Linked DNA regions of Rhinolophus ferrumequinum. The protein of the gene in region 4 interacts with the protein of the main gene of each other region in a biochemical or structural test. Links are inferred from orthologs where the notes say so. Each region holds a gene or a part of one and is shown on either strand. Other genes may lie near its edges.

Region 1 (7,681 bases), on a different chromosome or scaffold from region 4:
AGCACTGGGATGGTTTCTTCCCTTTTGTGACCAGCAGCCTAACAGAGCCCGGTTTCTCTCTCCGTAGCCCTTTCTGGTTCCAGAAAACCTCAAGAGCTTCCCATCAAGTTACCAAGGCAACTGCAGCCCAGCAAGATTCACAGTGATGAGGGAAAGAGAGCAGAGACTGACAGCAGCCCCAGGACAGGCTGCCAAGGTGGGGGCACACATCTCAGGGTGAGCAGGGAGGCAGAAGCTTCGGGCCAGAGCAAACATCCCCTGCCTCCCCGTCCAGCCTGTTCCAGCATCTGTTTTCCTGCAGTTTTTGTGTTTACACAGCCTGGGTAGATGAGAAGACAGCATCAAAGCTTCCCTCACTGTCAGGTGGGGATGAGGGGTGCTTCTCCCACAGTTTCCCAGAATGGCAGATGTCACGGCTACTACCTTGAAAGGTAATGGGGCCCCGCCCATGGGCACCCTGCTTTTTTGGTTTGTTTTTGGTTTTTTATCTTTTTTTATTTTTTGTTATTTCGTTTGTTTGTTTACAAGCACCCTGCTTTTAAAAGCCAACGGAACTCTCTTCCATAACCACCCGCTGTCTCCATGATGGCCCCTTGGGAGGCAGTGTTGCTAAGGGATCCTGAGCACAGGCTGCTTTGGAATCAGAGAGAAGTGGGTTCGGCTCCTGCTTGGTCACTTTCTAAGACTGTGACCTTGGGCAAGTCACTTCTCTCTCCACCTCAGTTTCCTTAGCTGAAAATGGGGATGATATAATGAATTCCCAGGACTTCATAATATACACATAATGTGATTGCTCATGGATCAGTTTTTAAAAAAATAAAGCTGTTAAAATTTTATCATCATTATTACGATTTTAATTGTTATTGTCATTAAGTGTGTACCTCAGTTTACTCATCTGTAAAATAGGGATCATGATTTAATGGGTTGTTTAAAGATTATACAAGATAAAGCATGTGAAATGCTTAGACCAACCCCTTACCGTAGAAAGTGCTCAGAATAGGAGCTGTTATTATTATGATTTCTATATCCCGCTTCTCACCACAGGCCGTCAGATTCCGTATCAGGGAGCCATCACTGAGCTAGTCCAAACTCCTAGTTCCCTAAGCAGGAGGGGCTATGAAAATGAGGCTTCTGGGATGGTAGTGGGTGGGTGGGTGGGTGGGTAGGTGGGTGGGTGAGGAGTGGTCATTTCTAACACCTGTGCCAGTAAATTTCCAACTCACTTCTAGATCAGGAATGAGCCTGTGACTTCTGCCTTCCCTCACTTCCGTCTCAGGAGCCTGAGGTTCCCTTAGCAGGATGATGTCCCACTAACGCCCAGCACACTGGAGAAAAGGGGTAAACAGTCATTTAGAATGGAAAAGGTTTTGTCCCTACACAGAGGGCCAGACGCCAGGCTCGGGGAGGCAACACAAGAGATTGGATGAGAGGACCACATAGGCGGGGCCACAGTGACTCTGAAAGGTCTTTTCTTGGTCCAGCTGAGGCCTTATTTGCATAAGGAGACCTCAGATATGGCTGACCAACTACAGACTGCTCCCAAAGCCTCACCGTCTTCCTTCTTGAAAACACCAACATTCCGCCAGGGCCCAGTCACACTTCTGACCTTTGAGAACCATGAATAGCCTGCTCTGGGACGCAGACCTTTCCACATATCTGTGCCTCACTGGTCCAGTCACACCCGAATTGCACAGGTGGGTGTCCCAGGGGTCTCCAGTATGTGCCACAAGCTAAAGGGTGGGCTAAAACTGCAGCTGGAAGAACTTAGGGGAAACCTCGGGGAAAATGCCCTAGTTGAAAGAGCTGGGAGACACCTAACCTCTACAGCCCTAGAGACCTTGAAAGGTCATGACTCAGTGGGGGTGGGCTGGGGCTGTCAGGACCCTGAAAACACTGAGGGAGAGGAGGCAGTTCTCATGCCAGACCTGGCCAGGGCCCCCAACACTGTCCTTATCGTTCCCTTCCTCTAACCCTCCTCCTCCATAGTCTGGAAGACCTGCTGCCTTAATGTTCAAAGTAACCCTGAGGCCCTACAGAGCTGGACTTTAGGGAGAACCAGTGACTCTGGGCTCTGATGTCAGAAACCAGGTTCGAGGATAACTTGGACTTGTCCTCCCCCAGAATAAATGCAGAAACTTGGGCCTGTGCCCTCAGCTCTGCTGGCAATAAGCCTTTGTCTCCAGTCCAGAGAACCCAGCCTCCCCACTAGCACCCTGGCCTGGACTCTCCCCATTCTGTGAACAGACAGGACATGGAGGTACCAGAGCCAAAGGCCAGGCGTTTCTTCTGGGCACTGCATGCAGGCATCTTACCCTCCCTGTGCCCGTAAATCAATGCCCACACAGGCTCTGTCACTGGGAAGGAGGAATTCCTGAGGGTCGGTGCTTCAGCATGACTGGGTGGAGATGAGGACATCTGAGGGAGACAACTGGCAAGAAAACAGAAGTGGGGCCTTGAAAACAGCTGCTGCCCAGAAAGCCCTGGCTGTGTCAGCTACAGGTCAGGAAAGGACCACGTGTGTACCACCGACCTGCTCAGCACTCCATGCCTCACCTCATCCCCATCTGACTCGCAGACGAGTCCAGGAACAGTCACAGAGGACTGCGTCAGATCAGGGAGAAAGAAAAAGCCCCCCACCCCCACCCCAATTGTGAAGAACCTAGTGGGCAAGGCATGGGCCATAGCCACACAGATTCAACTGGAAGTCATTCTGAAGAAAATTCAGCGCCCCAAAGATAGCCAAACCAGGGTCAGCTGCTGGGGCTGGCAAGGGGCCAGGAGTTACCACTGGCCCCATCTGGCACTGGCCATGGAGCCTGGATGGAGACCTGCCCTACTAGCTGATCTCCCAGAGGCAGAAGTCAGGTTCCTTCTAGCCTGAGGAATCAGGGACGAGTCAGAAAAGCCAGTTTTCTCTCAAGTCTCTGTCTCTGCCTGCTGGAAAAAGATTGCTTCCAGCTCTCAAAGGGTCTGCCCTGCTTACCCTCAGATTGACACGTGGACAGGCAAAATTTCCAGTGCTCTCAGAGTCCAGGCTGCAGACAGCAGTCCTGAATCTTCTCCTGGGATGACTCACGAGTGCCCCCTGCTGTCTGGTTTCGCTGAAGCCCGTCGTGGGGGGAAGAAAGGAAGGAGTGTTAAACGCAGATTCCAGTTGCCCCAGCAAAAGGGGACACGCGTTAGGCTGCCCGCTTTATACACTGCCAGAGCCTAATCAGAGCTGAACTTCCCCAGGGGTCACCGAGGAGGGGAATGTCTAGAGAGCAATCCATCTGGGAGGACAACGCATGAGGGCCCTGCAGCCTGGCCTCCGGGCACCAGCCCGAGCTCTGATGAGGGCTCTCCAGGCTGCATAGGTCCCTGGCTTCAGGAGAAGTTATGTTCTGCGTAGCAAAATCCCTGCCTCCTCTGAGCCTCGAGAGAAGAGGCTGTTCCACATTCAGAGAATCATCTCAGTGAGTGTGCAGTGGGGGCTCTGCAGCCTTGTGAGCAAAGGAGAGACCCCACTTCTCCCCAGAACTCCCCCAGGTGCCAGTGGGACACCTCCAAAACTCCCACTGATGATACAGATTATAAGAGACAATAATAGCTGTTTGCAAAAGGACCTCTGGCTCCCTGTCTGCAGGTCCGTCAGGTCTCTTTAGCTCCAACAGTCTATGAGCCTATAGGATTCCACAGCCGGTCCTAGTGGTCGGCTTCTCTCCTCGCCACCCACTACTCCCCACTCCTAGTTCTTTCTTTCATCTGATTTAAATCCATCTTGTTACATGCTGAACAATGGCAGCTAGTAGAAAGGGTCTTTGTCCAACACTTCCTATTTTCAAGTTCAGAGAGAGAGAGAAGAGACAGGACACTGAGAAACCAAGGGAAGAGGAAGAAGCAAGAATGAAGAATAGAGAGATAACCAAATATTAGGTTGGTGCAAAAGTAATTGCGGTTTTTGCAATTATTTTTAACCTTTTAAACCGCAATTACTTTTGCACCAACCTAATAAAATCCAAATAAACATCTGAGGAAAACCATCTGACTGGCTGGAGAGGTGGGGAACAAGCCTCCGCAGTCTCTCGTCATGTTCCGTCTAATCATTTCATAGCTGTATGTCTGTGCTCGCATTCAATGTAGGAGTGAGGGCACACACACACACACACACACACACACACACACACACACAGATTGTGGGGAAGGCCTGTCTGTGGGGGCGGGGGGGCAGCAGTCCTCTCTTAACCCAGACAGTTCTGCCCCCCACCTGCATGATTATCTTCCCTGCTCACATCCCCCCACCTCCCAGCCTCCACGCTTTACAGCACTAGGTCCGTGTGCTTTCAAAAGAGCTCCTCCCTGAGTGCCACCTTCAGGAAGTGCTGCGCTGCTCCAATGAGGAGATGAAAGGGAAGAGCGCTAGTCCTCTTCTCTCCAGAGCACTACCCCATCAAACAGCCCCCCTGCCCCTCTTTCATCACTGCCAACAAAAGCTGCAAAAGCAGCCCTCCTCACCCTGAGCAGTGGCCTGCAGGGGGTGGGGTCAGCAGGATTCCCAGCAATGCCAACACCCTCTGCCTCCCTTCCCTCCACAACTGAAAAACAAACAGGAAAGCCCTCCCGGCCCATCCCTAAGGCCACTTTGCAGTCACCCCAGGTTCCCAAAATCCCTACCCAAGCTGCCCCTAACCCTGCCCTCCCAAGGGAGCCTATATTTCTCAGACCTTGGAAGTCACTCCAGGATATCTCACCCTGAAAGACAAATCTGCTCTTGGAATGCAAGGAGACAGTGATGAATTTGCCCACACTCTAGCAAGCTACTTCCATTAACTCCTATGTCCAAATAATTTCTTTAAAACACCAAGGATGAGGTTGGGGGAGGGGAAGGCAAGTCCGTGACATCAATCTTCCATGGGGATTCCTCCTTCAAACCTGGCCAGGTCTGGGCAGGAGAAAAGCCCTGCACACACACAACACACCTACTCTGGGGGCTTCTGGGACAAAGCAGTGGAAATGAGACCTCACCTGCTCACCTCCACCTGCAGCCTCACAGTGCCTCCTCTGACCTAAGTTATTTTCCACTCACCCCCCCTTGGGTCCCTGGATATGGGCTCACAGAGATATGGGCTCACACACCCCTTCCTGGGTGTTTCAGGGCTCTGGCTGCTCCTGGGCAGGGTGGAGCTGCCTTGGGGGGGCACCCTGTCCCCTCAGGCAGACAAGAGCAGCTCCTATTTGACCAGCATCCAAGGGGACCCAAAGGGAGAGGGCATGAGAAGGAAAACGAAGATCTGTACTGCAGTTCCAGGTTTACTCATTCCTTCTCAAATTACCCTACTTAACACTTCATTTTACAGATGAGGAAGTGGAGACTCAGAAGGTTCAACTTGGACTGGACTTGCCCAAAACAACCAGCTAGAAAAGGGACAGATCTGCGTCAAGCATGGGTCTCCTACGTCTAAAGTCTACTTCAGGGAGATGACTTTCTGGTAGGCAAGGGGGCCCGGAAGCAGGTGACATTTCAGTCGCTAAGTGTGCCCACCTATGCTTGGCTTTGGAATACTAAATCATGAACGCAAGCCTACAGTTCTAGCCCCTGCCCTGCTTACACTGTCTGCTTCCAAGCCAGCCTCCAGCTGGAAGGTTTGTACATCTTGGGGATGGGCCAGCTGGGGCCCAGAAGGCAGAAGGGACAGAGAAGGGAAATTCTGGCATTTCTCCAGGGCTCAGGAGCACGAAAGGGGATGACAGCTGGGCAGACGGGCTTGAGCAGGCCATGTGGGAAGGCTGGGCTGCGGGAAACTATGGGCACAAATGGCCTGGCTGAAACAGGGCTTTGCCCAGTTGGCCACCTAGCACTTCTCCCTTCCTCCATTCTCCCTGTCTCTCTGCAAATTGCCTGCTTCAAATGTGATTCTTTCCAAATGAGCCCCACACCTCCCAGGAAGGGCCTGGCACGTGGAGCGATGCTGTGGACTGATTACTGACATCCTAGCCTTCTTCTAGCAGCAGCAGGCTGGGGAGCTGGTGGCCCAGACCACAACAGGAGCAGCTTAGGATGTCCTGTTCCAGCAAATTGGAGAAGGTTCCCCATGGCTCAGATCTGAGGTTGAGGAGCCAAGATGGACAATGAAGGAAAGAGGAGGCCCCCAAACTCTTGCCAACCAGCAGCTTGTTGGTGGCCCGGAATACAGGTGCCCATATGGGCTCTCCCTGACTGGAAGGAGAAAAGTCAGCTTTGTCTAGTGCTGTGAGTTTGATGGCTGTTGAGGCTCAGTGCTGAGGTCCCCATTAGAGGTACTCAACGTGTCTCAGGCCCTGGAGTTCCCAGAAATGAGGGGAGTGGGAGCATGAACCAGTCACTGGCATTTGCTGGATCCTTCCATGCCTTTTAATAGCAGAAACTCCTCTCCTCTCTCAAATGTTTTGTGGGGAGAGGCGGGTATCTTTACCTCCCAGCATCTTGTAGATCTGCCAGTAGTTTGAGTTATCTAGTAGGACCAAAAGCATCATGAGATGTCAAGAGGGGCAAGAGACAAATACTTCAAGATTGGATTCAGGGCATAGCCTCCTCTCTGAGAATATTACCTGGTTACCCTTAAATGAGGGCACCCCACATACTCCATGTGTAGATCAAAGCCACAGAACCCGAAGTCTTCCAGGGCAGCTGCAGAAGTAGCAGCCAACAGAGAACCAGAGAGGCTTACAGCTCAACAGTCCTCAGGGATCCCCTAGATTCCAGGCCAAAGGCGCTCACCACCTGTTTGGTGACAGAATAAAGTGTAGGTTTGGGATTTTGCAAGGGGAAGCAGGTGATGTGGGAGAAAGACTCTCACGCATTGAGAGGTGCTCAATAAATGCTGCGTGAGGGTCACTGGTACAGGAATGTTCTCCCAAAGGAACCCTCTGTCCTCTGATGTGAGGAGAGAGCAGGCTAGAGTAGGAGTGGGGGGGGGAGGGGGGGAAGAGGGGTGTCTTGCTATTTCACCAAAGGTGATCAGGTGGCCTACTCGGGTGTCTCTACCAAAATGAAGGTAGGAGGACAAGTTACCATGAGATGGGCCTCCTAACCTGGATGAGTCATTCTCAGGACACCTCTGAGCCTATCTGGGCCCTGACCTTTGTCTAGATGCTTCCTCTCCAGCGGAGGCTTAGAAGCTGCTGCAGACACTCACAACCCCACTCTTCACAGCACTGGCACTAAGGAACCTGATTAGCAGAGCCCCATGCCAGGCTGCTAATGGGTTGGAAATATTAAGCATAAATGGTTTCCCACACATCAGCATGAGCAAAGCCCTAGAAGAAACAAATATTTTAATTTAAAAGAAAGAGAAGTGCAGGAGGAGAGGGGGTTCCCTCTGCTTATTCTGCATCTATTATTCTCCCACCCCCCACCTGCAACAGTTTCTACAGTTCTCAGGTCAGGCATTCCCTGCCTAGGAGGGGCTGTGCCCATGGGGAAGGAGGGTGCAGACAACAGATCCTCATTTTCTCAGACCTGTGGGAGTGGAAGAGATTCTCAAAGATATACAGAGAGGGCGATCCCTGGGGCTGACTTGGCCAGCCACCCCTATGGTCAGGAAGTCTGTGACATCTCATTTGAATTAATCCTGCGATGACTCAAGGCCCACTTCCCTGTGGATGGAGAGTGGGAGGACTAAAGTAGATGATCAGAGATGGGACACCTTTAGACCTAAATCAG
Region 2 (7,481 bases), on a different chromosome or scaffold from region 4:
CATTCCATTCACCAAACCTGTTTTATTTTCAGAGCAAATTTCACCCCCCCGCAATGAAATTATTAGTTTTTCCTTTTTTTTTTTTTTTAGTGCCACAATCTCCACCCCAACAAGAATACCAGCTTCACACTTAGATGTCTATCTTGACCATCACACTTATTCTTGATCCCAGGTACAAAGTGATGCTCTACCAATATTTTGATTTATAAAACCAATAGCTGGATCAAATATATAGTGAATGAAAGAGAACTGACTCTGGGTGGTGAACACACAATGTGATATATAGATGATGTATTACAGAATTGTACACCTGAAACCTATGTAACTTGAACAATTCTCTGCAATAAACTTTAATTGAAAAAAAAAATAGCCCACATTACAGTTGGGGTTTCAATCTAGCAATGAATGTCTTGAAGTTCTTCACTCACCTAACCCCCAGTAAATACAATCCTTCAAGTTCAACAAAAGTAGTTAAGAGCTTAAAGTCTGAAGGCAAAGGAGAGAAAAAGGTCAAATACACAAAACCATACCGGGATCACCAGGAAGCTTGTTAAAAAGGCAAAATTCCAGGCCCCACTTCTGACCTATTAATCAGAATCTGTATTTCAGTAAGATCCCTAGGTGATTCATACTACATTCAAGATTGGAAAGGTAACTAAGTTACAGAACAGCTGTAAGCCTGAAGCCTAAAACAAAAGGTGTAACAAAAATCTGCATGGGGTTTTTACTCTAATATTTTCATAAATAGATGAAAAAAAGCCCACTAAATATTCTAATGAAGTAAGCCTCAAAATTCAACTGAAGAAAACTTTCCTCTGGAAGGTTCCTGGGAAAGTGAAGGATATCAGTTAATTAATGAGGTTACAATTAATCTTTTATCATTTTGAAAGGGCAATAATTCCAACTTTATCTTTAGAACACGAAGAATTTTACGTTGACATCAAATAGGATGCAGAAAACTTATACGAGGCCATAGGGACCAATCAAAAGAGAATTTCAGAGAAACTCCCCAAAACTAGTTCTGATGTTGGAATATCAAGAACTGCTGCTTTTCTAGTATACATTCCCTGATAAGCTGAAGTAGTTTTTCAATCCAGCCCTCCTGTAACATATTTGCCCTACAGGTGTTCGCTCACCTTTAAAAAGGGTTCTAATAAGGTCTACCTTTTAGAGTGGCTGATTAAATGATATAAGGTACAAAACGCTTTTAGCACAGGGCCTCCCACACAGGAGGCACTGCCCATCATTCCCCTAAATAACCCGGAATTGTCTAAACCTCCCCATCCTGCTCTCCATCACCTAACAAAGGAGGCATAAATGCAAAACTACAAAAAAAAAAAAAGTGTTGCTCTGCCTAAGGAGGTATCTATTACTGTGACTCAACCATTTAAAACATTAAAAAAAAATCACACAGAAAATAAAGATCTATACGTACAACGGAAAAGAAACATTGTTACACTTGGGAATGCGTAGTTTGAGAAATCCACCTCCGTCTAGAAAGAAGTAGTTTTCAATCACAGCAAGCATCAACACCAGTGCCTTAATGGGAAGGGTTTCTCTTTTCCAGGGATCCCAAGAATACACCTGTTGTGCGCGAGGGCCACACACTAACCTGGAACGCTGCCTCGTCCCCGCCCCGCCTCATTTCCCAGGTGGGCAGTGTGCCCAGCCCGCGCCAGGGCCGGCCTGAGGATGCCGTGACTTCTCCGGCTGAGTCGCTTCACCTGGGACACGAGGGGCCTGGAGTCGCTCTTCCAGTCTCTTCCAGCCGCAAAGTGCAGAGGCCATTTTGGCCCCTCAACCCACCTCTCCCCGCACTTCCTCCGACGCAGGCAACATGTCTGCTGGACGGGGAGGTGTAGACCCCAGCGGCCGGGCCGGGGGCAGGTCCCCGGGTACATGAGGCCCCGGCGCCCAGGAGCACCCTCGGCAGGGCGCGCTGGCCCAACAGGGACCGCCCGAGGCCTTTTGGTCACGGCTGAGAATCCCAGCGTGAGCAGATTCCCTCGAAATACAGCCTCCCTCGAAATTAAATCCCCGCCCCCCAGCTGAAATCCACAGCGCTCACCCAACTCCCACTAAGTGGATTCAGAATAGCCGGTCGGCCCACACTGTCCTCCAGGAATAGTATTCCACGGATTCAACCCGGCCACCCTCTCTCTCCGGGATACCCAAAAGGGTGGGGTGGAGGCGGAAATAATGAAGTCCCCAAGATCTAAGCTGCCCCCGCCAGCGAGCGGCGCCCTCCCTCCAGCCTTGGGGGTCCAGACCCGTGAGGAGCCGGGCGCTGTGCCCCTCTCCGTAAGGACCCCTCAGAACAGCAGCCCGGAGAGCAGAGCGCAGGATTCTCACTGTTCGTGAACCTCCCGCCCGGCAACTACGAAAAGTTGCCCGAGCCGCCTGGGCGCACAAGCGTTAAGCGTTTCCGCGGAAGGAGCTGATCGGAGCCTCCAAGTGGCCCCTGGCACCCGGGGCAGCCTCCCAGTTAGCCCCGCGCTGCTCGCTCCGCGGACGCGCGCCTCTCCGGCTCCCGCGAGTTACAGCCCAGGGACGAAACCGCCACCGAAACCACGGCCGGGTGCCCTCTCCCCGCGCCTCCCCTACTAGACAGAGGCGCCGCGGGGACTCTGGGGGTACCGTGCGCCCGGGTCCCGCGCCCAACTCTCCCGTACTCACTGGAGCCCAGCCCGACCTACCAAGGACGACGGGACCCAGGGAGCTCGCTCACCTGGCGGGCGCACCTGACGCTGTGCGGGCCGTCAGCCCGCAGCCCGGGACAGAGCTAGGGACTCAGCTCACCTCCTTTTCCTCTCGCCCCCCCACCCCGGCCGCCCTGCCCTCGGGCATGCGCACCAACGCCAGGCCCGGCTGCGGGAGGGTCCGCGGCCGGGTGCGGGTGAGTCTCACCTGCTGCACCTCGCCGGGGCTCCTTGGCGCTCTGACCAGCTCTCCCGGGAGTTCCGCCGCCTCCGCCGGAGGAAGGAGAAAGGGGGAGGTGGACGCAGGCTAGGAGGTACGCAGGCCAGGAGGTGTGGCTGCGTCCTCCCTCGGTGACCCATCCACCTGAAACTCGGATGGGAGGGGGAAGGGAGCGGTGGAGAAGAAGGCGGGAGGAATTGGCTCGGCTCCGCACACCCTTGTAGTGCTCTAAGTTAAAGGAAAACTCCGCATTTCGGGCCGAGGGGCGGGGATCCAGCTCAGAGGAAGTGCTCGGGTTCCGGGGCAGGGGCTTGGGGGGTTGGGGGGGGCCTAGACCACCCTGGGGCGTGCTCCGATCTTCGCGGGCTTCTGATAGAACAGTGGACTGAGGTCTAGATAACACTGTTTTCCTCCAGAAGAGAGCTCAGCTTTCGGCAAGAAAAAAAGTACGTCTTCACACAACACTTGCCTGCTCCAAAAATTTGGTTCAATTTTGTTAGAAAGAAGCATCCAGATGTGAAAGATTTTCAAAAGTTATGCGTAAATTTAAGAAATGTTTCTGAATCTCTGGATCGAGGGAAAAAGACCATTACTCTGAGTGGTTAAATGAAGGTGAAGTACTGTAGATACTGGTGTCAGTAAATTTGCCATCAAAATTAAGTGCATACTAACGGTATACAATATTACCACTTCAGGCTCCTCTGCTACCCTTCCCAAATTTAACTGATATGATGGAGAATCTGCTCTTGGGAGGATTTAAACTATCTTAATATTCTCTTTAGCTTAAAAAAATATAAACTTAGTTCTGTGTGCTGTGTTCTATTTCTTGATCTGGAGGCTGTTTCCAAAAGAGCGTTCTCTTAGGAAAATTCATAGTCTACATTTCACGATGTATATATACACTTTTACTCGTATATATGTATGTTGTATTTCAATATATATTTTTTAATTTTACTCCAGAAGTTGGCAATTTTAGTTCTTGCTACTTACCATCTGCATTGAAGGCTGGATTTTAGGTTTCTTAAATTCTGCCTCACTTTGTATTCCAAGCTGGAATGTCAGCATTGCTAATCAATTTCTGTACAATCCCACCCACTTCTCTGCCTTTAATTAAGTGGTTAGAGCTGTGACTCTCATACAATAGATCTCAAGGCATAATTCAATAGTTAAGGAAGTAAAAGCGTTATATAAATATAAGGTATTTTAATAGATGAGAGCCTTAATGGGTAATTAATCTGATTGGTGTTGTTTTCATGGAAGTCATTGCTATAATTATTTTAGTATGACTGTAGTTTTTGAATGATGCATTTTAAATTGATGTTGTTAACACTGGGAAGTCAGGTTAATCCTCTTAATGTTCCCTGTCAGATTACTGAAATCTCCAAACATTCCACTTGGTTTATAATTAAACAAGAGAACATTTTCTAATACTCTTAGATTTATAAACACATCTATTATTTTATAGTGTACTTTGACATGTTCTGAAGAGAACTTAGTTTTTTCCCCCGCTTTTTAAAATTGAAATATGTATCACATACCATAAAATTCACCCTTAATGTTAAAGTGTACATACAATTAGTGGGTTTTAGTACATTCACAAGGATGTACAACTATCACCACTACCTAATTCCAGAATGTTTTCATCACCCTAAAAAGAATCCCTGTGTCCATTAGCGGTCACTCCCCATTTCCCCTTGCTTCCAGACCCTGGCAACCACTAACCTACTTTCTGTCTGTATTGATTTGCTCTTTCTGAACATTTTATGTGAATAAATATGTGGCCTTTTGTGTCTGGCTGCTTTCACTGAGCGTAATATATTCAAGGTTCATTCATGTTGTAGTACCTACCAGTACTTCATTCCTTTTTATGGATGAATAATATTCCATTGCATGAGTATACGACATTTTGGTTAAACCTTCATCAGTTGAAGGAAATTTGGGTTATTTCCACTTTTTAGCTATTCTGAATAATGCTGCTATGAATTTTAATGGACAAGGTTTTGTGCGGACATATGTTTTTAATTCTCTTGGGTAAATTAGGTTTTTTAATTAAACTTTTTATCACTTTAAGAGATTAGCTAATTCATATGTTATTTTTCTTATTCCCATACCAAACCTAAACCCAAAGGCATGTTGTGTTAGAATGGAAGCTTAGTTACCATATTTTATTTGCTTTCCTTATTCATTCATTCAACAACCATTTTCTGATTGCCTACTATCTGCACAATAGTAAACAAAACGCCCAAATCCCTGTCTTGGAGAGGCTTATTTTCCTGCTGAATTCATGCATGTGGAGTAATAGAATTTATTAAGTTGAACTATATGAAATTGGAAATAATTGTTCATTTTAACTACAAAATGGCAGTTTCATGTGGTTCAACTTAGGACCAAGCTATATTTCTATTGGAATAGTATGCCATTTTTATTCCATTCAGATTAATTTTCCAAATGATGCTGACAACATTGAAAAATCTAAAAACTGTGTTCTTTTAACTCTTGCCTAGCAGTGTGCATATTAGGTAGTAGTGGAAAATGTTCAAAAAGAAAATCCAGCCTCAAAACCTAAACACATCATTCTTCAACAGCAAAATTTGTTGGATGTCCTGTTCAGTGTAGTCATGTTACCTAATCATAAATCGTAGCAAAATTTTAATTATTTTTAATCAAATATTCCTTCTTGACAACTCAGAGCAGTATTATGGACTATGACCCACTGTTGAACATTATTTGACTAAAATCCTCACGAGTCAAAGTAAATATTATTCTCAGAGGAACTATGGTTAGAAATTTGTTGATTTTACCTGCTGTCAAATGATAAAAACCAATTTGTTTTTCTTCAGTTTTATATGTAAAGGAGAAACTTAAGAGCTCAGAATTTGGTGTCAGAAATATAGGTTCAAATCTCATGTTGCCACTTATTAGTTGGATGGATTAATCCTTAAGGGAAATTGAAGTACATAGGCTCATTTTTCCCCACTGTACATTTGGGATATTAATAAATGGTACTCTTTTCCTAAAATTGTTGAGAAGCACGTGGACAATTCACCAAGAGAAACCATACCACAAGCTGGGCCACAAAACAAGTCTCAATAAATTTAACAAGTCGTTGCTGTATCCCATCTGCCTGAAACAGTCCCTGTCATAGAGCTATTCCATAAATACTCATTGAATGAGCAAATGAATGTAACCCTGTTTCTCGAATCCAGCATGCCTGTGGAGTCTTGTCCATCTTTCAGACAGTCTTCTGTCATTATGAAAACAGCACATTCCTTAATAGCATTTCAGGGCTTACATCTCTAGTACTAGGTCTTAAAGAAGAAAAGAAGGGGGATTAGAATATTTCCACTCTGCCTCACCTGCTTAATAAATGAATCCAAGGATTGGTATTTGTTCAAGGGCAACTCAGGAGTTGCTGACGACCTGGCCTGAAGGGCCTCTAATTTTCCCACCCAATCACAATCACAAGGTGGGAGGCTCCTAGGGCAGTTTCCTTGGACAAATTAATGGAGGAATTTATGGGGAAGTCATCAGGAAGGCAATTTCTGAGAGGATGTTGAGGATGATGACGTATGGTGAGTAAAGCTCTATCTCAATTGCTATGTATTAAGCAAGATCCTCCAGGAGGAGCCAAGGTTAAACAGTCAGTTCCTGAACTGGAACTTCAACAAGTGGGATAATAGTAATAATAATTGCCATCCTTTATTCAGGGTAACCATGTGCAAAGCACTGTACTAAGTGCTTTATGGACTTTTATGTCTTTCTTTTAAAAAAAAAACGAAAAAACAATCTTTTTTTTTTTTTAATTTTATTGGGGAATATTGGAGAACAGTGTGTTTCTCCAGGGCCCAGTCATTATCCTTCAATCTAGTTGTGGAAGGCGCAGCTCAGCTCCAAGTCCAGTTGCCATTTTCAATCTTTGGTTGCAGGGGGCACAGCCCACCATCCCATGCGGGAATTGAACCGGCAAACTTGTTGTTGAGCACCCACGCTCTAACCAACTGAGCCATCTGGCCACCCTATTTTTTGTCTTCACAACAATCTTACGATGTAATATTATTTTTCCCATTTCTGGAAAGTAAAGCTCAAAAAGTTTTGATCATTTACTCACGATATCAGCTAAGTTGTAGAGTCTGGATGCAAACACAGGTCATTTAATTCCAGAATTAATGTTCTTAACAGTTTTACTGCTTTTTGTCTCTAAAAAATACCCAAACTCCTTTAAACTACCCATAAAAAGATTTCAGAGTGCAACCATAGGTTGCATAGGTAAAACAATCCTAAAAAAAAAAATTGTACAAAGGAGTGTAATGGATAAGAATGAACCAGTTAGATAGAGCAACTCCTGACAACATGGTGAATTTTTTAAACATAATATTGAACACAATAAACAATGCCGTCCCAAAATACAGTATGATTCCATTTATATAAAGTTCAAAAACAGGCAAAACTAAACTACATCATTTAGGGATTCTATACATAACAGCAAAACCGCAAAGAAAAGCAAAGAAATTATTACCATGAAAGTTAAGATACCATAGTGGTTACCTTAAGAGGAAAAAAGA
Region 3 (7,391 bases), on a different chromosome or scaffold from region 4:
CCTCTCCCGCAAGAAGCCCAAAGGAAACAATGCAATTATGGAATTCAGGATCATCTTCTTAATTTCTCAGAGGAAACTGAATTCCAAGGATATTAGGAGACTTGGTTAGAATTGTATCGGTCTCTTGACTCCTGACTCAGTGCTCTCAATCAGTGTTGTCCACTCGTAGAATCTCTGTGGCTCCACCTCCCTAGTCAAACTGAGGAAAAGAATAAGGGTCAGAAAGAACGAAATATCTTTTGGGCACTCTTGGAGATCCTGAACCCAGGATCGAGTGCGTATAGCAAGTGAACATATGAAGTATTTCAGGTGAGTCATCAAGTGACCACTTCTTATCTTCTCTAACAACACGCATAACAGAAATTTTAGTCAACCAGGAAAAGCCCCAAGCGATAGTATAATTATATATTATTATTTCTGTTGAAGAGCAAAGTGTTTGTAAACAAAGCTTGAGAAAGAAATGATGAGTAATTTACTAGAAGGACATGGCGGGGAGTGGTCCCTTTCTTTTCCCTCCCTTTGCCCCACTCTGTGTGGCGCTCACTACCTCACTTTGTCACTGCATGGGTTATACTGACCTAGGTTAACCTTCGGAAGCACTGCCACCTTCTTGCTCAAAAACCTTCGATGGCTCTCCATTATCTACCCAAAAAGCCCCCAGTCTGATGTTCAAGGCCTTGCATAATCGATCCCAGATGCTACCTTTCTGTCTCATTTCCCACTACTCCCCTGTCTGTTTGCCCAACCTCTGGGAGCGCCTTCCAGTCCCCACAACAAACATGACACTTTCCTACCCCATGACATGTGGGCAAAAGAACCTTTTGCACGTTTCCTTGCCTTTATTCTTCCTTTGCTTTCAACTACTCGTTTCCTTTCAAGGCCCAGATTGGATACCACCCTAATTCTAGTTGAAAAGGAGACTTTCTGGGAGCTTTTCATTCGTGCCACTCATTTGGCACCTATCACATCCTTTGTTAGGTTTACAGATGATTCCAACAGTTCCAAAACTTGTCTCCGATGTCTCCAGCCCTCAGAAGCACTCCTTTCTTTGGCAGGTTCAGGAGTCCTACGACCTCAAGTTGTCTGACTCAACTTCCGCAACTCTCGTAACTCCTTCATGCCCGGTCTCCCAATTTAAGTTCTAGAACACAGATTTTACCTTTCCCTGTAGGTCCAGGCTTTGGCTGTTCTCTCTCTCCCTTTTATTATTATTATTATTATTATTAATTTTTAAAATGTATTTTTCAATTATCGTTGACATAAAATATTATATTAATTTCAGGTGACCCTTTCATTTCTTGACTCTCGGTCACTCTTCGGGGTTAGTCTCAAAATATAACCAACTCTCTCCATCCTAAAAGCAAAACAAAACAAACATAAAACTTCCTCTTTCTTCCACCCTGTTTTTCTTAAGTCAAGGTACCCTTTCTCCTCCTCTTTTCCTGATATACTTGTTATCGCAGTCTGAGCAGAGGGTCTGCAGCACAGCTGAACTGACATCTGGAAGATCAACTTTTAAGTGCCTGTCGTGCGGGGCAGCCTGCGGGGTCTCTGGTCCCGCTCCCCACATAAGAATGCAGGATATGGTGAGGCCAAAAAGGAACACCCAGGGAGCCATAGATGGGGGAGTCATACAACTATATTCTCACTGGCGGCATCCACCTCTCTGCAATCCGCGCTTGCTAGCTCAGCCACCATCCTCTTGTTAGCCTCCATTTTTCTGCTAGCATAGCCACAGCAGTTATATCAGTGGCCAATAGGTCACTGGTTACAGCTGATGGCCAACTAGCCACAGCTGATGGCCATGCCATCACAGTTGATGGCCATTTACTACCTGAGCCAGCACCTTTCCACGTGAGGCTGAGAGCCTGGAAACTGCACTCCTGGTTCTGTCCCCACAGTGCCCAAGTCCAGTCTCTTTTCCTATTGGAACATCTCTTTTCCACGGTCTTTCCCACCTATGCCCCTGAATGCTCCATCACTTCCCCCGACCCCCATCTGTTCCATATTTCTCAAGGTTTTTTCTTCGGTCCACTTTGCAAACTTTCACATCTATGAGGAGAATACTTAGATTCGTCTCAACCCCTAAATTCTCTTCTAAACTTCATTTCTTAGACTGTGTGTGTGTCCTGCCTACTTCTCCAAGATAGCAAATTCCAAAGTTGGTTTATTATACGCTTCCTTTCCTGGGTCCTCTCCAAACCCTTCTGTCTCCTGTCCTTTCAGTCTCAGCCAACGACATCACCACCTTTCGGTCATCTATCTTTAATGACTCTTCCTGTGTAGCCTTCCCTGCTGCTCCATGTAGGAACTGGTCCCAGCTTAACAGGTGATCTTTGAGATAAGTTTCAGTAGAGTTGTCAGTGGACCTCGTGATAGTCTTGGAGAACGCAGGAAAGACGTGAGGAAAGAATTTAAAACAGAAATTGGGCTCCAAATTCACTTCTTTGATGAAATCTCCAGTTAGCCTAGACCTTTCTCCATTCCATTATTTCCCAAAAGTAAAATTACCCTCTTGAATTTATATCCATGTTATTCGTTTCTTCTTTCTGGATATGCTATTTGCTCTAATTTTGTACCATTGCCATATTTATAAACTGGCCGATTTTTGCCAAATTGTAGCATTTCTTAAGGACGGGGACCACGCACTCTGGGGAAAGACCGTGGTGTCACCTTTGCCACCTGTGCCTGATGGTGTCCTTCTGAATGAGGCTGTTTCCTTGAGGAACAGATGACAGGACCGTGATGGCAGAGGCCTCCTGGATTTTCTTTGTTGTCTATGTTCAGCGTGCTGGGGTGGGGTGTCTCCTGCACCACCCTTACTCTGCATTTACTACAAATGCGCTAAGTATCCTAATTATTAAGGTGTTACCCAGGAGAGTTGAGGCGTTTCCACTTTTCCAATATCTGGGTCAACTCAACAATCTCACATTTCCAAAAAAAAAAAAAAAAAAAAAAAACCTCTTAAGAAACCCCACCCCCGCGGTCTGGAGGTAACACAGTGCTGGAGGCCTACCCATCTTCCGATCCCCACCCCCACACCTTTTGTTGCAGTTCCTCCCCAGGACATTGGCTGGTTTGAGGACTCTAACCCTGACATTAGTGCTTCCCTTGGAATGCAGAGACTTTGCATCGGAGCCAAGAAGCTAGTAGGCGGACTTTACCCTCCAGGACCCACACCTAGCCACTGAAGGCTGGGGGGGAGGGTAAGGAAATAGCTCCCGCGAACGAACCCGACTGTCAGCTGCATTTAAGATTCCTCTTCAACCCTGAATAGGTCCACAGTAAATATCTGTTGAATAAATAATTGAGAACAACATCCAGGGCCCGGCGACATAAGCTAAATCAATCTGCTTTTCCCCCTGTCTCAACGGTTACGATCTAGGGAGCCAGCTTTAACAGCCGTGCTGTTGAACCACAGCTAGAGTAGGAGCCTCATGTTTGCTGAGCCCCGGCCTGATCTTACTCTTCTGGAGACTGGGATCGATTTCCCCACTTTTTAGAAAGTGCGTTTACAATTTGGGCTTGAGTCCCCTTCCGTTCAGAATGAGGCTCACTCCTATTCGATGTCAAACCACATCCCCCTTCAGCATAAACTTCATCCCATTCATTCATTCATTCTACACCTACTAAGCGCCCAGGACGTGCCAGTCCCTGTTTTAGGCGTTTGCTATAGATCAAGGAACAAAACCGGAGAGATCCTTGCCCTGGCGGAGCTTACGGTAGGACGAGAGACAAACGATGAATATGATTTTTTAAGATTAAATTACGTAATTTGGAAGGTGATTACTACGGTGAAAAGGGTACCAGGCTAGAAAATGATTTGTGGAGGCCAGGGGATGGGGAAGAGAATCCTAAATTGGGATTCTGGCTCAGGTTGGGCGAAAAGGAGACGAACTGAGGTGGAGGAGGCTCTGACATCGGGAGACAGATGTTTTCTGCAGAAGTGACGGGAGAGTAATCCGCTGTATGCGGAGGTAGGTGAGGGCTGAAAGGGCTCTGGACAGAGATTCGGGTTGAGAACACCGGAGGTGGCGGAGGGGGGGGGCGGGCTATTTTCCAGCTGAGGCCAGAGGATGCTCTGGCGGGCGGCTCCCGGGGCCGGGGAGGGGGGGCGTCTCGCGTGGCCCCCAAAATGGCCTCCTGCTGCCCCTCGCCGCCCCGCCCAGGCGCTCCATCGCCCGCCGGCCCACGTGACCCGGCCTGCACCTCCCGCCCACCCCGGCTGGCGACCCCGGGTCCCTGTCCCCGCGGTGGCGGCCCCGCCCCTCGCGGGAAACGGACCAACCAGAAGAAGGCTAAGGCGGGGCGGGTGGTGACGGCCAATGGGGGTGGAGCTCCAGAGGGGAGTAACAGGTTGGTGGGAGGGGGAGAAAGAAGGAGGGAGTGCGGAGGGACGGAGGGGGAGGGCCTGGGAGCCGCGCATGCAGCTCTGCCAGAGCCGGAGCCCGAACCCGAACCCGAGCTCGGGAGCGCCGAGCCCGGCTGGGGTGAGTGAACCGAACCGGGGCAAGGACACCTGAGAGGCAAGCGGGCCCTCAGGTGTAACCCCTGAGGGGCGGGGGTCGAGGCGATCCGAGATACCTCCCTCCAGGGCACAGGTGCTGCATCAGGGAGAAGACGAGAGGTGAAGGTAGGGCGGGAGTACTGATTAAGAGCTGACTCTCACTCCTAGGTGCCAGGTGACGGGCACCTGAGACTAAGGCTATTCCCAGGGCATGAAAGCGGGTCAGGGCCAGGATCTCTCTTGGGGTCAGAGGCCGGTCCCAGGGGCAGAATTTCTCTAGGAGACTGGGGTGCTGGGGGGAAGGAGTTCGTCTCAGTTGGTCGAAGGGAACTGCTGCCAGGTTCAGAGGCATAAGGGGGAGGGCGTGGAGAGCTGTTGTTCCTTGAGGTTCTGCCCCCTGACTGCCAGTCTAGCTGGTGCTGACAACCTCCCTCCTGGCTTTGAGATGGATCTGAGGTGTGGAATCTTTCTCTAACCATTCACCTACAGGTGACGACAGTTGCAAATAAGAGACGCTGAGGGGCCGAACAAGAGGGTAGGGCAGTCTCTTTGCTCGGTGTGAAACTGTTTAAGGCTTGCATGCCAGGGAAAATGTTTCCTTCTTCCTCTTGAAACAGTACTCTCCCAGGGAGAGATATGAGGAAGCAAAGATCCCTAGGCCTACAAAATATCTAGAACTGTGTCTTTCTAATGAAGCCTCTTTCTGGGGGCTCGTGTCAAACCCTCCCCCCCAAACACACCGTACTTTCTTCTGTGGTTCGAGATGGAGCCATTGGGTGAGGTTTGGGAGCCTAACCAATTTCCTTGAAGCCTCTTCGAAGATCCCCATTATTCCCTAAAACGCCACCAGGCATCCCTGACTCCGGGACCATGACAGACAGGCAGTGGACACAAGTGGTGCAGGACATAGGCAGGACTCCTCAGGAGACCACAAAACTAGAGGAGTTACCACCTCCAAGTCTCCAGCTAGATGGGAGGTGCACACTGGGGCCCCGACAAGACTTGTGACAGAGATTCCCTTGCCCTAGGCAGGTAAGGGAACCAGAGCCAGCCTTAGCTCAGCCCCTTTGATGCCCTGCCTGAGGAAAGTGGTTGTAATTGGGAAATAATTAGTAACCGCTATGTTGTAGACAGGCTGCCTGCAGGTGCTTTTGCACCTCTTCTTTCATCCTGGATATTTGGGAGTGGGGGGCTGGCGCTAGGGGACTGCTAAGCCAGAGATTTGCCTGACCCTAAGAGGATTCTGGCTTCCTAGAACCCTTCCTGCCTTCTCCAGGCTGAACTGCATGCCTTCACCTCTGTGGGAGGTCAGGAGGGAGGTAGGGCTGCTTCTCTATGAGTGGGGAAGGGGAAAACAGGGGAAAACGAAGGACCAGGGAGGTGGCCAAAGTTAGTGTGGGATCAGGAATGCATCTTTGGGAGGGAGGGGCAGAGGGAGACCAAGGCTTCCTGTCACACACGGCCTGTCACTCATTGTTTTTGTGCATCTTCTCCCGCCGGCTCCCTCTCTGTCTTGTGCCTCCTCCTTCAGAGCCTTGGCTTTGGCTTCTAGGCTGGACAGAGGCCCTGCCCATGGTTTTGCCCCTCTGCCTCCTCTGGTGTGGAATTTCTCGTGTCTGCTTTGCAAGCAGCCAGTGGAGTCTCCCTGGCCCTCCCCTTGCCTCTCAAACCAGTCCAGCCAGTTTGCTGGGGCCCAGTTCCTGATTGTGTTTTCTTCCGCCACTGGCCAGGCAGCTCTAGCCTGGCTCTCAGGTTTCGGCTTTTTCAGTGGACCGAGCCAGCACTCCACTTGGGGGGTTCTTTCTGGATCCATGGGGGACCTTCTTATCTCTGTAATTCTATTGAGAAAATAGGAGCCAAATGATCAAGGTCGCTGAGCTGTCCTTTTCTATTTTGACCATGTGCTTTTCTTGTTACCTCTGAGGGGAGTCTCATCTCGACCTCCAGTTCTCCCATTTTCTAAATCTGCCAGGTGCGTAGCATCTAGCATATTGCCCGGCCCTGTGTATGTGTATCAGTTCTTCCTCCACACACCGAAACCACCCCACCCCCACTTCCTGCCAGGAGTCCAGGGACCCTGTCACTCCTAGTTGGAAGCCAGACGCTATGGCTGGGCCAGAGGTGATGGAATTGGGGCAGGGCAGGCTAATGAGTAACTCAGGGAGAAGTGGCTGGTACAGGTGCAGTGTCCTCCCCCAGCTTGTAGGCAGGACTGGCAGAGGCCGACAGATGAAGCTGAATTCACTTGTGGCCTGGGCTCTTCCCGTTGTCCCGTTGGTGAGGAGCGGCTTGGGCACATGCCAGGGGAGGGAAAAGCAGGGTCAGACATCTGGTGAGAGCGAAGGCTCTGGACTCCATGTTGCCTGGCGCTGGATCACTGTTTACCTGCCTCTGGGCCTTAGGCAAGACCTTGGAGCTGCCTGCTTCCTGGCCCCGCCCCGCCGTTCTCTGTAACTGAAGGCGGATGGGTTTCGGGTTTTCCATGTTGAATCATTTAGAGCCCTGCTTTCTGACCCACCCCAAAGATTCCTTCAGTCCTCCCGGCCCCTGACCCACATGTCCTGGGACTGGAGGTGGTGGAGGTTAGGGAGTCACTGGGACCTGGGGGTGCATTCCTGGCTGCCCCTGACCAGCTTGGTGCTCTTGGGGGAGCAGGAGGCCGGGCACTGTGCGGAGCGGAGCCTGGGAACGTCGTGACCTGGATCTGGGAGAGCAGTAGACGTACTGACAGGGGAGAGCTGCAGCATGAATAAATCATGTGACTTTGGAGAGCTGGCAGTCTAGGCACATCTGGTTCCAAAATTATGACTGACTAGGGCAGGGAGTCCAGGCCAGGAGAAGGTCTCGTTACTGGGGCAAATGAGAAAGGACTCTGAGGGATCCG
Region 4 (6,952 bases):
CTACAGATTCCAATGCAGAGATTCTCACTCAGGTCTGGAGTAGTTGGGAGAGTTTCAGATTTTACTAAACTCCCCAAGTGATTTTCCAGGCATCACTGAATCACTGAACAAACCATTCACTGGACACTTTCTAAGGAATTTTTTTCTCATGTGTGGACTACAAAATAGAATTTGTTCACCAAATAAAACACTGAACTATACTACAATTTCAGAAGAGAACATAGTGGAGGAAGGGATAAGCTTTTCTCTCTTGCCATACTAGAATTAAAAGGAAATAACAATCTGAAATCCTGTGAATGCAACAATCTACTAAAATGGGAGAAATTTTCTGCCAAATCTTGCCCATTTGAATGATCTTCATTCATCATTTCAAAGGGACTTTTCAATCGAAGGAAGCTGTAAATTCCTTCCTACAAGCTGATAGCCTCATTCTGACAAGAAAGTCATAATACAAGAAAAGTCAAGGGTCTTAGAATGAGAAAAAGAATCTGGGAAGAATTTGAAGAATCTGCTATTATTTGGCTATGTGTTAAATCTTCCCAATATCCCTGATCACTTATGTATTCTGAACCATAGTCTTGATCTTTAACAATGACTTTCTTAGATCAAGAATGAAACCACTTTTATTAGTTCGCAAATTCACATGTTCTCATCAAAAAGCATGCCCTCAAATCACAAGTTGGACAATTTTAAGTAGATGCAAACAGATGACTTTTCATTATTACAAGGTTTTCCTGTATACAAGCATTTTTTCAACTAGAAATAATGTTGTTGGACCATTAGATTCATTTAACATCAAAGCAGAAACAAAATAATCTGGGGTATTTTAGAAAAATTGTTTCAAATCTTCTTTCTATGACCTCTTCCATATACATATATATACCAAGCAACAACTTTTTTTCTTAAGGTTTATTTCAACTACTTTCAAAAATAAATTTGAGTCAGTATAAAAATTAAAAAAAAAACACACACTAAACTCAATATAAACAGGACATCTAAAATAAAACCAGTTAAAAGACGCACAGAGAGATTTTACCAGGCATCTACGCTTAGTTAATTAGTGCAGTTTGAGCCCTGGGTAGCTCCATTCTTTTCCAGCCAAAGCAAAAAAGAAACTCTCGTGGGTTAATGTTGTCTCTATTAAAAGAAAGCCCATGCACTCTAAGAACCTGGAACTATAGTGCCTTGTTCACCAGGCCAGTGACCAAGGAATTTCCAAATGTTTGTTCATATTTTGGGAACATGATTTTGCTTTTACTTTATATTCCTAATCAAACTTTTCTGTACTCTACAAAAAAATGTCATTAACCATCTCCAGAAGCTCAGGGGCTGGAGATAGGGGGAAATGGAGTATTGTTTAATGGGTACAGTTTCTGTTTGGATGGATGAAAATGTTCTGGAAATGAATAGTGCTGATTGCACAACATGGTGAATGTACTTAATGCCACTGAATTGTATACTTGAAAATGGTTATAAAGGTCAATTTTATGTTGTGTATGTTTTATCATAACAGTAAAAGAATAAAAGTTTTGAGAAACAAAAAAACTCACCAGCTGGTATGCTACCTGTCCAAATCTTGCTAGGGAATCTGCCTGCCACCCTGGGGCGGAAGGGCTTTCACCCACCAGCTGTAATGTGTTTGTCCTGGTCTGGCAAAAAGAAGGTTTAAATGCAGGACTGGATGGAAATGTGTATCACTTCATTAGACTAGACACAAAACCTCCGATGGTGCTTCGCAAACATAAACATGCAAATGATCCCCTGGGGATCTTGATTCAGCAGCATATAGGGCCTAAGATCCTATATTTTTAACAGGTCCCCAGTGATGCCACTACTGGACCCTGGGACTCATGTGAAGCACCAAGGCCCCAGGGCACTTGAAAGTAAACAGAATGTCACCCTATCAGCCTAACCATCTAGAACCAGGTCCCCTCACCGGCCAACACAGTGGGTTGATCTTATCTTTCAAGCGAATTGGTGGTTAAGCACTTAATTCACCTCCCAACCACCATCTGTAAAAGTGCGTTGAGAAACTGGGATAGAAGGGGGTTCCCGAGAGAACCCACCCACCTCGGGGAGTAAGCAGCAGCTACAGATGATATGTAAGCGTAATTGACACGGGCAGTTTCGCAGAAAGCCCTCATGCAGACTTCAAAACAATCTTGAAACTACCCTTCTCAGGCTCGAAGAATGCCTGGAATTCAGTGGCCTTTATCCAACATAAAGATTCGCAACTCGGTTTTGACTGGGTTCCCTATAGAAGAACCTTGCAATGGAGCCCTAGAGAACTGACAACGCCCAGCATGTTGACAAGTTCGCCTCCTCCCCCTTACAAGTGGGTCAGAAAGTGAAAAAAGAAAAAGAAAAAAAAGGTTCTCCAAGGCTGTGCCGCACAGGAGTGCACAGATCCTGGGTCTGCGGGCCCGCGAGCCCTCCAGGGCGATAGTCAAGCTCCCAGGTGTGCGGAGAATTTTCAAGGCCCGCAGCTGAAACTCCGCTGGCAGCTCAACTCACCCTGGACCCGCGTATACCCCAAGGCACCAGCTCCGGCCCCCTCCAGATAGTACTGCAAACAAGGGCTGTGCCAACAGAAACTCAGAGGCTCTTTAAATCTGGTTAAAAAGAAGCTCAACAGGAAGTGAACCAGTTCCCATCCCTTGGGGGCGATGGAGCAAGGCCAGGTAGGAAGGAAAAAGAAAGTGACTCTCAAGTACCTGTAGTTGTCCCAGGTGCATGCTCGAACCCGCTTCCAGAGGATTCCCCAAGAGAAACCCTATGAAGCGCTGTTACACATACCCCCGGGGGGCGAGAGTGGGGCGGGGAAGCAAAAATCTGCTAAGCATCCCACAAAAAGGGATAAAAAAAATCAATACCCAATAAAGTAGAACCCGCGGAGTTCTGGAGCGGAGGCATCAACTCGCATTTACTCGCGCTGCCCCTCACCTCCGTCCGCACAACGGATCCAGGGTGCCGGCCACACACCCCGAGAATCCATCTCCCTTGCTAAAGCCGGGGCGAGAGGAAGGTCTCCTGGCGACGCCCGGGCTGCCGCGCCTGGCAGCGCCGGGACGCCCTGCCCGCGCTCCCGGGCCGGGGAGGGGAGGGCGGTGGGTGCACTACTCGCCTGGAGGTGGGTGGCGGCCGCGGTCGGCGGAGTCGGGCGCAGGGTGAAGGCAGCTCTGGGCGACGCTTGGACGCGCTCCGACGCGGCACTGGCTGCTGGGCCGCTGTCGCCTGCGCTCCCCGCGCGCGTCTCTGGCGGCGCCTTGTCCGAGCCGCAGTGCGGGAGGCTGCCCCGGGAATGGGCGGGCGTGAGTGGCCTCAGCGGCCGCTCCTGTGTATTATTGTGACTCAAGCTATTTCCTGTTTGGAGGTTTGGGAGAAAGAAAAAAAAAAATCCAAGGTGGGGGCAGGGGAGTTGTGCAGCGGCGTCCCGGAGGGGACAGGGGTGCACAGCGGCTGTCACCTGCTTCCACGAGACCCCGAGGGTGCCAGGTGCGCGAGCCCCGGCAAGGAGACGCAGTTTACTGCAACTTTGGGGTGTCGGGAAGGACGGAGAGGGTCCACCCAGCGGTGGGCTAGGGGCTGCGGCCGCAGGAACCGCCTGGTCACTCCAGCCAGCGCGCCCACTGACCTGCCTCTTCCCTTCTCTGTAAAACTGCGCTGAGCTTTCTTCCCGCCCAGGGCAGGCGGAATGGGCTGTGCTGCTTCCTTTATTCCTGCCTGGGGTGAGCTTTCTAATCCTCTCCCGGAGTGTGCGCTAGAAAGGGGGTCGCTCCGCCGCTCCTCAAAACACCACAGGTGGGAGGGTTGTGGGCCATTGTGTGTTTGGTGGGGTTGGGGTCTTTGTTTTTCGGGCAGGGATGTGAAGCAGGTTAAGGATTTTGGTGGAAAGTTTTGAGATCGGCTTCCGTTCCCCTCCCCCACCAACCTCACCCTTAGCCGGGATCACAGGGTCTGAGGCCCCAATCCGGAAATACCGGTTCCTCCCGCTGGGACAATAGGTGAGGGCGGGAGTGCTAACCCCGGAGCCTGCTTAGTCACAGGCGGAATCCCTGCTCTGCCGGGAAGGCAGAATCTTCCTAGTTAGTGCCCCACTGCACCTGGCTAGCAGGTGAACCTTTCATCCAGTCTTGTTAACAATCCTGGGAAGGTAATGGGGAGTTACTGTTTAATGCGTGCAGTTTCAGTTTAGGATGATGAAAAGGTTCTGCAGGGTGGTGGTGTTTGCACAACAATGTGAATGAATGTACTTAATGCCACTAAATTGTATGCTTAAAAATGGTTAAAATGGTCAGTTTTATGTTATGCATATGTTACCATAAAAGAAAAATTCCTGGGAGGGTCATGCCTCCTTTTTTCTAGACCGCTTTGCTTATGACTGCCAAACCCTCCTTCCCTCCTCCCTACACAAACCTTTGCCTGTAATGGAATGAGTAACAGTGCTTCTTAGACAACTCAGGTTCACTTACTTTAGACCTCTGTGGGTACCTATCAACAAGTTATTCCAAGAAGTGGGTAGATTGAGCCTAGAAAACAGTACAGTTTTTTAAAAAATGAAGAGTAGTTTGTCAGAAACAAAGTGTTAGCAAGATGAATAAAGGTGTAGATAGTATACCACTTTATCTAAGAAAGGAGAAACAAACATACATGCGTTTGCTTATGTTTTTTTTTTAATGGAACGAGAAGTTAATAAATAAAATGGTTACCTATTTGGGAGAGAGGGAAAAGATGCAAAATACAAGATAGAAGCTAGACTTTTCTGACTATATCTTGTTTTGTAGGCTTGACTTTGGCATGATATAAATTTTACATAATTATGAAAAACTTAAATCAAAACTTTAAAAAGCAAAATTCAACAAATGAATGTGGGTATCAACTTGGCGGCTTAACCATGTAAAGAGAAATTTTGTCAAGTGACTTTAAAACACAGTTATTTGCCTCTACATCCCTTAGGTATATACTCTAGGATGGAGAGAATGTTAAAAACAAAAACTACAACAACAACAAAAAAACCCTGCTTTTCAGTCATCATAGTGTAATTATATTAATGTCTTTAAGAATCAAGATTTTTTTCAGTATAAAAGATAAATATAAAATCAGAAGTAGAAGTTAATATTAAGTTTGAATTGGAATTATAATTTAGAACTCATGATATATTTTTCTTTAAAAAAAATAATTCCAAGGTCTGTTTTACTCAAAACACCTACCACCAAGGGACCAACCTGGTAGGTGGTCACTGCAACAACTTCTAGATGGTCTCTACCCAGCTTTATGCAGAAACAACGTGAAAGAGCCTCACCTCGTACCTCCCACCCCAGTTTCTCTGTTAATGCCAGTGTGGGGAATCCATGGAAACTTGGTGCCCAAGCATACACCACCCCGAAGGGTGGTTGAGTTAATGTTTCATGGTCTAACCTTCCACCAGTGGGGGATAAAAGCTGATAAGTAAGTATTCTTCCCTTTTCCCCCAGGAGGAATGATCCTGAGACTCAGTCTATAACACCTCTCAGAACAGGCCCCCCTGAGTTGGCTCTCTCTGCGTCCCAGTCCCTCACTCCTTTCCCGAGGACCGTGCTCCCCAATAAAGCCCACGTTTCAAGGCTTTGCTTCCTGGGAAACCCAGGCTAAGATATGTACAAACTGTATCTCGAGATAACCAAATAGTTGGTGAGGAAATGATTCTACTCGGTCAATAAGGAATGAACAAAATTTGAACCCCAGCATTTCCCAAATCCCTACTAAAATAATGGATCAAGGCCACTGACATCACAGAAAACATCGCCAGACATTAGGTGCCATCTGATGGAAATGCACAACACTACACATGATACAATCTTGCCCCTAAAAAGCAAATCAGAGTCTGATCAAGGTTCTAGATCCAACTGCCAATTTATAGAAAGTACTGGAAGAGAGGAATGTGTTAACATTACTACTGGGGTAGGATCAACAAAATCCAGAATGTGGGAAACTCGAAAAGGCAAATGACCCACTTTCCTAAACAAGTAGCAAGGCATTCAACATGAAGGGGGAAGAAACCTATAGATCAAAAGACTTAAGTAATGTCCGTGAAATACAATGTGTATTTCTTGTTTGGGTCCTGATTCAAGCCAACCAGCCACTAAAAATTAATGAGATAATTGGAGAAACTTGATATTCCCTAAATTAGTAAAAACTTAGGAAATTTAAAAAAATGTTTTAATCCATGCCATTGACTTAATCTAGTATACGGTGTTGATGCTGCTACCACATGTATTTGGGTGGTACATTTATTTTATATACACCCACATATGCATATACACAAAATAAAACACCTGTTGAATTTACTTCTGTATCTGAAATTAACATTTCAGAGAAGAATAGGATTTTGGATTTTCTTCGAATGTGTTCAGGTTGGAAGAAAAGGACTCTGGCTGGCGTATCTGGTCACTGACATTATCTTTGTTTTTTCCCACCCACTCTTTTCATTCCGGGTACATGCTGTATGTATTGCTTTGTCTGTGCTTTCCTGTCACCAGCAAAATGCATCTTCAGTAACTCATAAACATTTCCACTCTGAAGACTAAACATTTCAAAATCTGCTCAAGGAAACAAAGAGACGCCTCCATGGGCCACAGGGGCAGTATTGTGAAAAATGGGGCAAGAACTCTAGGTTCTGACTGAGAGCTCAGCAGAGGTTTCCTCCCTGCCACTGGCACCAACGCAGTCCCATAGAAACCATCTTGCTTTCCCTGGAGACAAAGCCCTATTCTGCTGCCTCCTGTGACAGGGAGCTCTTGTGTTCTGTGTCCTGAGGTTCTGAAACTGATACCGTGCTTCACCGGCAGGCTGGAGAGACAGGGTGGGGAAAGGGTCAAATCACAGTCTAAAGTGGGGCACTGCCTTGATAAGACAGGTGTTTTCTTTACTGGCAATATGTGCACCACAAAGCCGCAGACAGAGCTTTGTTCCT

Evidence for each region.
Region 1: the proteins of TJP2 (region 4) and CTNNA1 form a complex in vitro, tested with the Homo sapiens proteins (2 studies listed by BioGRID and IntAct, with this or other methods). The link is inferred for Rhinolophus ferrumequinum from reciprocal best matches to the Homo sapiens genes TJP2 and CTNNA1.
Region 2: the proteins of TJP2 (region 4) and OCLN form a complex in vitro, tested with the Homo sapiens proteins (3 studies listed by BioGRID). The link is inferred for Rhinolophus ferrumequinum from reciprocal best matches to the Homo sapiens genes TJP2 and OCLN.
Region 3: the proteins of TJP2 (region 4) and CGN form a complex in vitro, tested with the Homo sapiens proteins (2 studies listed by BioGRID and IntAct, with this or other methods). The link is inferred for Rhinolophus ferrumequinum from reciprocal best matches to the Homo sapiens genes TJP2 and CGN.

What each region holds. Positions count from the first base shown.
Region 1 is NC_046307.1:13,645,633-13,653,313, reverse strand, and holds the start of CTNNA1 (catenin alpha-1), read right to left. Parts: upstream 3,003-7,681; 5' UTR 2,984-3,002; intron 1-2,983. UniProt on the Homo sapiens protein: Associates with the cytoplasmic domain of a variety of cadherins. The association of catenins to cadherins produces a complex which is linked to the actin filament network, and which seems to be of primary importance for cadherins cell-adhesion properties.
Region 2 is NC_046290.1:44,890,961-44,898,441, reverse strand, and holds the start of OCLN (occludin), read right to left. Parts: upstream 3,013-7,481; 5' UTR 2,908-3,012; intron 2,847-2,907; exon of another isoform or gene 2,697-2,846; intron 1,635-2,696; exon of another isoform or gene 1,613-1,634; intron 1-1,612. UniProt on the Homo sapiens protein: May play a role in the formation and regulation of the tight junction (TJ) paracellular permeability barrier.
Region 3 is NC_046305.1:51,461,235-51,468,625, forward strand, and holds the start of CGN (cingulin), read left to right. Parts: upstream 1-4,385; 5' UTR 4,386-4,490; intron 4,491-7,391. UniProt on the Homo sapiens protein: Probably plays a role in the formation and regulation of the tight junction (TJ) paracellular permeability barrier.
Region 4 is NC_046295.1:36,007,304-36,014,255, reverse strand, and holds the start of TJP2 (tight junction protein ZO-2), read right to left. Parts: upstream 3,002-6,952; 5' UTR 2,924-3,001; coding exon 2,874-2,923; intron 1-2,873. UniProt on the Homo sapiens protein: Plays a role in tight junctions and adherens junctions. Acts as a positive regulator of RANKL-induced osteoclast differentiation, potentially via mediating downstream transcriptional activity.